Daphnia pulex: one gene and its partner. The protein of the gene in region 2 purifies or fractionates together with the protein of the main gene of each other region. This does not show direct contact. Links are inferred from orthologs where the notes say so. Each region holds a gene or a part of one and is shown on either strand. Other genes may lie near its edges.

What was found.
Region 1: the proteins of DNA-directed RNA polymerase III subunit RPC8-like (region 2) and DNA-directed RNA polymerases I and III subunit RPAC1-like purify together in Homo sapiens (affinity purification with mass spectrometry; 5 studies listed by BioGRID and IntAct, counting the BioPlex papers as one, with this or other methods). This does not show direct contact. The link is inferred for Daphnia pulex from reciprocal best matches to the Homo sapiens genes POLR3H and POLR1C.

The regions. Positions count from the first base shown.
Region 1 is NC_060020.1:1,790,193-1,794,610, forward strand, and holds DNA-directed RNA polymerases I and III subunit RPAC1-like, read right to left. Parts: upstream 2,813-4,418; 5' UTR 2,749-2,812; coding exon 2,656-2,748; intron 2,591-2,655; coding exon 2,519-2,590; intron 2,448-2,518; coding exon 2,207-2,447; intron 2,127-2,206; coding exon 2,007-2,126; intron 1,949-2,006; coding exon 1,766-1,948; intron 1,686-1,765; coding exon 1,569-1,685; intron 1,499-1,568; coding exon 1,376-1,498; intron 1,311-1,375; coding exon 1,198-1,310; 3' UTR 1,193-1,197; exon of another isoform or gene 1,164-1,192; intron 1,115-1,163; 3' UTR 280-1,114; downstream 1-279. Other genes in the region: sodium/potassium/calcium exchanger 1-like, read right to left, coding at 42-152; uncharacterized protein LOC124192222, read right to left, coding at 3,338-3,504, 3,570-3,805, 3,867-3,958, 4,152-4,418. UniProt on the Homo sapiens protein: DNA-dependent RNA polymerase catalyzes the transcription of DNA into RNA using the four ribonucleoside triphosphates as substrates.
Region 2 is NC_060017.1:5,958,971-5,962,014, reverse strand, and holds DNA-directed RNA polymerase III subunit RPC8-like, read right to left. Parts: upstream 1,767-3,044; 5' UTR 1,595-1,766; coding exon 1,484-1,594; intron 1,421-1,483; coding exon 1,237-1,420; intron 1,177-1,236; coding exon 1,039-1,176; intron 963-1,038; coding exon 832-962; intron 740-831; coding exon 689-739; 3' UTR 624-688; downstream 1-623. Other genes in the region: cellular tumor antigen p53-like, read right to left, coding at 2,077-2,217, 2,291-2,579, 2,649-2,910, 2,978-3,044.

The DNA of each region.
Region 1 (4,418 bases), on a different chromosome or scaffold from region 2:
AGTTGAGGGGATTTCAACCGCCCCAATAATGGGAGACTTACCGGCATATAGTTGCTACGCAGGGATGACGTGTAGGCCGACGATGATGAACCGCCATAGGAGCTACCGTAGGAGCCACCATATCCTCGTTGACTGGAGTAGTAGCCTGCCATTGCGTAATCGTCTTCTCCGGATCCGAAGAATGAAAATAGGAAACGATAGGGGTTCAAAACCGAAATAAAAATGAATAGACAATCATAGGCATAAATTTATATGAGGCATTCTCTTACCCAATTTCTGTTGTCCAGCCAAGTCCAAATGAGAAAAAAGATCTCCCTAATTAACAACTTCACGATCGGCCCAGATGGGGGAAAGGGGTCTTTTGATTGAGGGAGACGGTTTTTCTTTCGTCCGGCCACCAAGCAGAGTGCGTCGTCGACTGTACTTGTAGTGAACGTGGAGATGGAAAGCGACCCGAGTGCTCTACGTCCGAAACAAAACTCTTCCACAAGCTCGCAAGCTTCCACAAGCTTCCACGAGCACTAAATTTAGATGCCACGGTCAATGAGAAATAGACTTAAGAGAAAGAGAGAAAAGAAAATAGGAAGAAGAAGAAGGGAAAGAGAAAGGGAGAGGAGATAAAAAACAAAACAGAATACACTTCTTGTTCTTCTTCCCATTTCCTTCATCTCATCTGCCTAGACTTTCTTGGCACCACCTACGCATATTCCACAATGGGCTAAAACGAATTGGCGGTGTAAACAAAATGTGAGAAGGAAGGAAGAAGAACATTAGAAGGAGGAACATCTCGGTTCACATCCAAAACAATCAAAACCTTAGGATCCAAGGTCAATAAGAGGCTACTACAGCTTATCTAGCAAGTCTAGCGCCAACGTTTCGTAAAACCAGTAGCGAAACAAACAGAAGCCATTGTTGCAGAAGGCAAATAAAAATAGCGATGGAAAGGAACATATGAAAAAGGATAGGTATCCTTCCGTAAAACCAGGAAGAATTAGTTGCTCGCCTCCACCCCTCAAATTTTTTAAATAAGTCTTCCCTTCCTTCCGTTTGAAAAGCTCCGGTTTCGGTTTCTAAATGCAGTTCTGGGTCACTCGGCTGGAATCCTGGGTGATAACTATATCAACGGCACAAACGCCTCCAGGTGAACTAATAATGCGTAATCGTCATGAATCAACGCGTCTATTTAGGATACCATTCCTACAGTCCATTCTTCAATTCATCCAAAAATACACGGCATTTTTGTGACAGGATCTTGGCGGCTTCAGTGAAGAGGACCTCCGGCGCCAGTGCTCCAGTAGACTCGATGTAAACTAAACACATTTTCAAATGCATCGCTAAAGTAAGGAATAAGCAAAAATCCAATAACAATACTTACAGATGAAATGGTCGCGTGCTCGGGTCAGCTTTACAGTGTCCTCTTTTAGATCTTCGTGACGGAATACGTTGCGGCTGCAGATGTCATATCGGGCATCGTTGACTTTGGCAACCTTCTTTTCACCTGAAATAGAATAAAAAGGTAGTGCTTCACACTAATTAAGCTAGAAGAAAAAATATAGTATGTAGCAAACCTGAGTCGACCAAATCAATAACCCCAGGGGAAAAGCACTTTTGTAATCTTTGGGCAGCTTCACCTTCCACTTCCTTAAGAAGTTTCACTTGTGGTAGGAGACGGTAAAATGCGGTAGCTTGAGAAAATAGAAAAATAGTTTTTGTTTAAATCTCGGTCCAAAAATTCTTAATCATAAAAAAAAACAATAAAACTAACCAACGGGTGAGAATTTTGCATGTTCTCGTCCGGTCCCTTTCATTGCGTGCAATTTGATGTCAAGTTCGTGACCAGGTCTCATTTTTGCGATTAGAATGTTATCGTCAACTGGTCCAACTGCATCAGGGGTAAAGATATCTTTTTGGCCACCCAGTGGAATCCATTTCAAATGAGATGTCAAAACTGAAAAAAGTAGGTCAGCATTCTGTCGAAAAAAAAAGGTTTGAGTTTCCCTTCTTACCTCTGAAATCCCTGTACAAGTGTTCAGGATTTGTATGATCTTTAGTCCTTTGAGGATTCCACGAACATTTCACTTTTAACTCAAATTCAAGTGTATCTTCAGGAGTCCCAGTATCATCATCTAAAATGAGAGATGGGGTAACAAAGATTCAGTTATATGAAGTAAGGTGACAAAGAAAAGAATGGGTGTTTGGAGTATACCTTCAGCTCTGAATTCAAACAATCTTGGGTCAGCTTTCAATGGTATCAGTCCCAGTCTGTGGGCCAAGACTTCATCTTGGATGATTGAGGTATTGTTGAACATGAAGACTTTGTCGAAGGCCATGGTGGGAATATCAGACAGCAAAATACGACGAAAAGCATTTGGTATGGCTGGATCAACACCAATCAAATCAAACTCCATTTCCATATTTTCCATGCGGACAATGTTAATTTTGAGCCTCTACAAAATCAGAAAAAATGGTAATGCTCTCTTTTTATCTACTTATAGTGTAGAACTTTTCTTAGAAGAACCTTTTTGAACTTTTCAAAACTCCAACTGTCGTCAAACCCATGATGATTTCCTGGGAAGTCTGTGGCTTCAGCCTAAATAGTTATTTTTATTATTAAATTTGGTTGAACTTAGGAAGATTTCTGTTATGTAGTATTACATTAAGAACTTCGAATTCTGTCAGCACGAGTTCATTCCTACTTTCATCAATGTATTCCTTGCTTGATGAATATTTAACTTTACTTTTACTCATTTTTCCGTTGAGCTTTAACACGTGTCTGGACGAGGGAAAAATTGGCAAATAATGACTATTGTGAAAAGTGTCGTCTGCTTTTATTTATTTTTAAAATTTACTGCAAGATGTCGCCACCGTCTCGCCACCGTCTCTCAGTTTAATTCAGTTCAAATCGAAACCGCTTTTCTAGAAAACAAACGGACATATATTATAGGGTAAAGGTAAATAATAAGAAATTAAATATTATTTTGATAGCCAATAAACACCCTCCTCTCAAAAAAAGAAAATCCTATTTCCAATAGTATTTCAAGGAATTTGTTGAGTTTTTATATTTCTATTTTTTCTGAGGCAAATAACACATACACGTTAGACACAGTAACTGTACACGATATAAACAGTTAGCTTGGATGTTAGCGCGATACTTACGGTATAAGCTGAAGTATATTCGGCGTATCAAACAGTCCGAACTAAACTAATACGTCAGCATTTTACAGACATGTAATGTATGGGTAAATTATTTCTTTCGGAGGAGAGAGAATAAATGGGGCATTTATCCTGAGACTGAACCATCTATGAAAAAAAAAATGTATTCGTCTTTGTCATTTATTTAATTTTTTGTCTTATTCTTTGAAAGAATGTATTTGGACATGACAGCAATTCGTGAATTGATTTTGCTGTTATCGTCGCTTGAAGCTGAAGCCCTTGGTGTTCTACGTCTCGAATACGACTCCGGTTCTGCTGTTGCCTGCGGGATCGGTCCTCGATCAGATTTTCCTGTAATTAAGAAGTTCATTTGCAGGTAACAAAAAAAATTACAATTGGTAGAGGATGTGGTTTACCTGCTGCGTCTTTTTCCAAATCCGAATCCTTGTTAGTGGAACGGCTAGACAAGTACATTGAGTAGCGCTTATCGTAGACGGGCGGATCGTAAGATGAAGAGTCGACCGGCTTTATCGACGACGGCCTGGCATACGAGCTGCTGTAGCTAGGACTGTAGCTATCAGAGCTGTAACTTGAGCTTCTCTTCTCGTAATCCTTATCATCGTTCAGATAGCTCGAAAAGAAACGAGACAAACTATTGATATTCATTAAATACCATCTGGTTCATTTGCGTGAAAATTTGATTTGTTCGTTACCGAGTAGAGGGTTGGGTGTTGGTCTTCGTGGCGAAGCGATTGAGCACTGACGAAGTCGCCTCACGCAATTTGCGTAAATCTTCTTCGATATCCTGAAAGTGAGCTAATGGTTTGTTAATTGATCAAACAAAAATGTAGTCAACTTATAGAATCAAAACTTAGAACCCAACGGTAATTTCTAATAATTTGAGCTTATTCTATCAGCTATAGAATAAAACTATTTTTAAGATATGCTACGCTATGCAAAATACGTGGGTGGTTCACAAAGCGCTCAAATAAATTTACCTCTAGTTTCATGACGGGTTCTCCGTTAGCATCATCATCCAAACACGAAGCGGCACTGTAGCGCGCCCTGGTCGTGGTACCGGTAGTCTTGACGGGTGCAATGTCGTCATCACTATCCAAGTACGACGCACGAGTGTGGCGCGAACGAACCGGGATTTTGACAGGTTCAAATTCTTCGTCGTCATCATCCAATTTCGAAGCTCGATTACGACGGGGTCTGTCTTTCTGAGTATTGACAGGTTCAATGTCTTCATCATCGTCTTCATC
Region 2 (3,044 bases):
GCGTCGAACCGATTTGAAACCGAAACGACCGTTGGAGATTCAAAACAGCTTCGACTGCAATTTACACAACTTGTTTCTTGCTTGTTTAATTTGTCTTTTACATCGTTCAATACAGAATTTTAAATTATTTACACATGAAATTCAGAATTCAAAGTATCTCAAAGTTTCCAATTAAATAAGGCGAGGCGAATAAACTGTGAGAATTACAAATAATGAAGTTCGCCCCGAACACCATTAAAAAAGCGTTCACTTCGATTAAACACATTTGTTTCACAAACGGGTGTTAAATAATAATAGCTGAAATGCTGAATATTCAAGTTTATTTAACCTCAAAATAATTATTTTTACTCGAAGTTCATAAGATAAGTTCAACCGAATTAAACAATTTTTGCTGAACAGAAGAACATAGACGTATATCTTTGAATTGACCCTTTGCGTTAGTAGGAACATTTTTTCTTAAAAACAAATTTAGAATAAGGCTTTCGTTAAATGCATTGCATTTTAAATCAATGCATTTTCAGTTTTTCTAAAAGGACTGTCAAAAAGGCTGAGATTTTCCTATTTTTAAAAGATGGCCTGTGGTTCCTTCCTTACGATAAGAAATAAAGTGTAAATATCGAAAATTAGAAAAAACACATTGGTGAAGTTTATTGATTTAAATATCGCAACATTTCACAGCTTCAAGACTTCAGCTAGCCCACCAAGAGAGCAAACCTAATCCTGATTCATTGATAGATGCCTATAATTGCAAATAAACAAAACATTAAAGTTTTACACATGAAAGTAAAAGAAATTTAACTATAGTAATGTTTCGGATTTCAAATTACGCACATTTATGCGATACGACAACCTTTTATTGTCTTTTATTGGATCTAGAGATGAGTCAGGTGCTTCATTACTGGGGCCAGAAGGTGTTGTATCAATGAAATACTCAGCAACTACTTTAAATCGGATTTCTTCACCTAAAAGAATACAATTACAATCAACACAAAAAGATAATTATCATAAAATTATGCTGTTATCTGTTTTTTTATAAACCTGTATCCATGAAAAGGTCATGTTTTCCATCTTCTGTTTGATATTCCCAAATCCAAAGATGTTCAGTTTCATCAAATCTGGAGTTTTTTTGCAAGTTCTCAGAAGAAATGAAGATGTCCTCAAAGAATCCCAAAGAAACTTGATGCAAATTTTTGATTATGCACAACTGTTAATAACAAATGAATAATCTTCAGTTACCTTGGACTGATTCCTTATCACAGTTTTTGATTCTACCAACAAGAATCTGCTCCATAAAAGGCCTGAATACTACATAACGAAATTCAACTTTGGTATGATGGCCACCATCACCTGGCAAAATGAAACTTTCTCCTCGTTTAATTATATCCCACAGAGCAATGCACAGTCCAACATCCAGAACTACCTAAATGAGAACAAATATTTTACTAATAAATGCATATGTCAATCATCATAGGAATTTAATTACTTTATTAGCAAACTTTAAGTTCAATTCTTCCGAAATAGCTTGATCAATATCCCGATTGAATTTTTCTGAAGGAACTCTTACAGTCTGCTTGACAAGAGCTAGAACGAACATGGTTTAAACAATTAACTAATAAGCCCAAAGATTTATTTTGATTCAGTGTGGTCCGTCTGTGTGTTTCGTGTTTATTAAGCACGAACAAAGTCGTGAAACACCGGCTAAGCACGTTGTTTCTTTTAACTTCTACACGTGTAATGTCGTCTGCTACTCATGCAAGTGGGCGGGGCCGGGGTTACACTTTAAACCAGCTAGTCCAACTTGGCAACTTCCAACTCAACTCTAGTTCTAAATTCGAAGAATAAAATCTAAAAAATAATTAAATTTTCATTGAAAAATTCCATTAGAAAATGGATAATTTCTTTTAGTCATACTAAGTTTATTCGGCACATCATTGGCATGTTACAGAGTTACACGCTGTTAAATGAATTTGTGAAAAATCGGTTTAATTTTAATGATCATGCCAATAATTCAAGAAACATTAAAAAAGAATAAAACTGTATTTTGAAACGACTCTTTTTAAGGGAAGACTTCACGATTTAAGGCTCCTCTTTTTTAAAACGTTTCCCAGTATCAGTATGATTAGCCTGATCATTGTTTCCGGGGGGAAAGCCATCGTAGTCATGTTGAAAACGACTTATAATATCTTTGATGAAATTATAATTTTTGAGTCCTTTAATCTATATTTAAAAAATATTATTAAAATAGTGAATTAGTAGGACAATTGTGTTAAGTGATGATGAATAAAGTTACATTGACGTTCAAGTTGTAGATTCCGTCATCGTCTTCTGTCGAATCTGTTTGCGCGACCAGAGGAGGAGGAGGAGGAAGAACAGCTCTTCTTTTTTTAATTTTTCCTTTCAACTGGGCCATGGAAGGAAGCTCGATAGGAATCAAGTTTGAAGAGTCTGTTTCGCTGGCAGTGGGATCATGTGAATGCATTTTATCAAATCTTGCTTCTTCAGCCCTAATATCCCGACCGGGACAGCTACATATACGAACATCACAGGCATATCGTCCAAAAACCTCGTATCGTCCTCCACTAGAAGAAGAAATGTAATGTAGGAATGTAGTTTTAATAATTATAAAAATTCTCTCATGGACAACTTACTTTGTCACAGACTCTAATGTAAAGATCAGTTTGGTGGGTCGTCGGTTCAAGCCTCCTTGGCAGCTAGACAGGCACATGAATTTGTAACACAATGACACTGACTGGGTCCCGGGAGCAGGAGGCTTCAGTGGAACGACAACCGAATGCCGCATATCATTGTGATCGACATATGTTGAATCATTGTCATCACAACGCAATACATGTGGAGTATAGGGCAACGGTGGACCAGTCCCCTTGTGGGCTGGGCACCGTTCAACGGGATCTATAGGAAGAAAATTTAAATAAATTGTTAAAAGGATACAGAGAAACGTTTAAATGTTATTATTTGCCTTGAAAGTGATCAGCCTTTGAATACACCATTTGTCCCCGAATGCAATATCTGTGGAATTCCTGTGA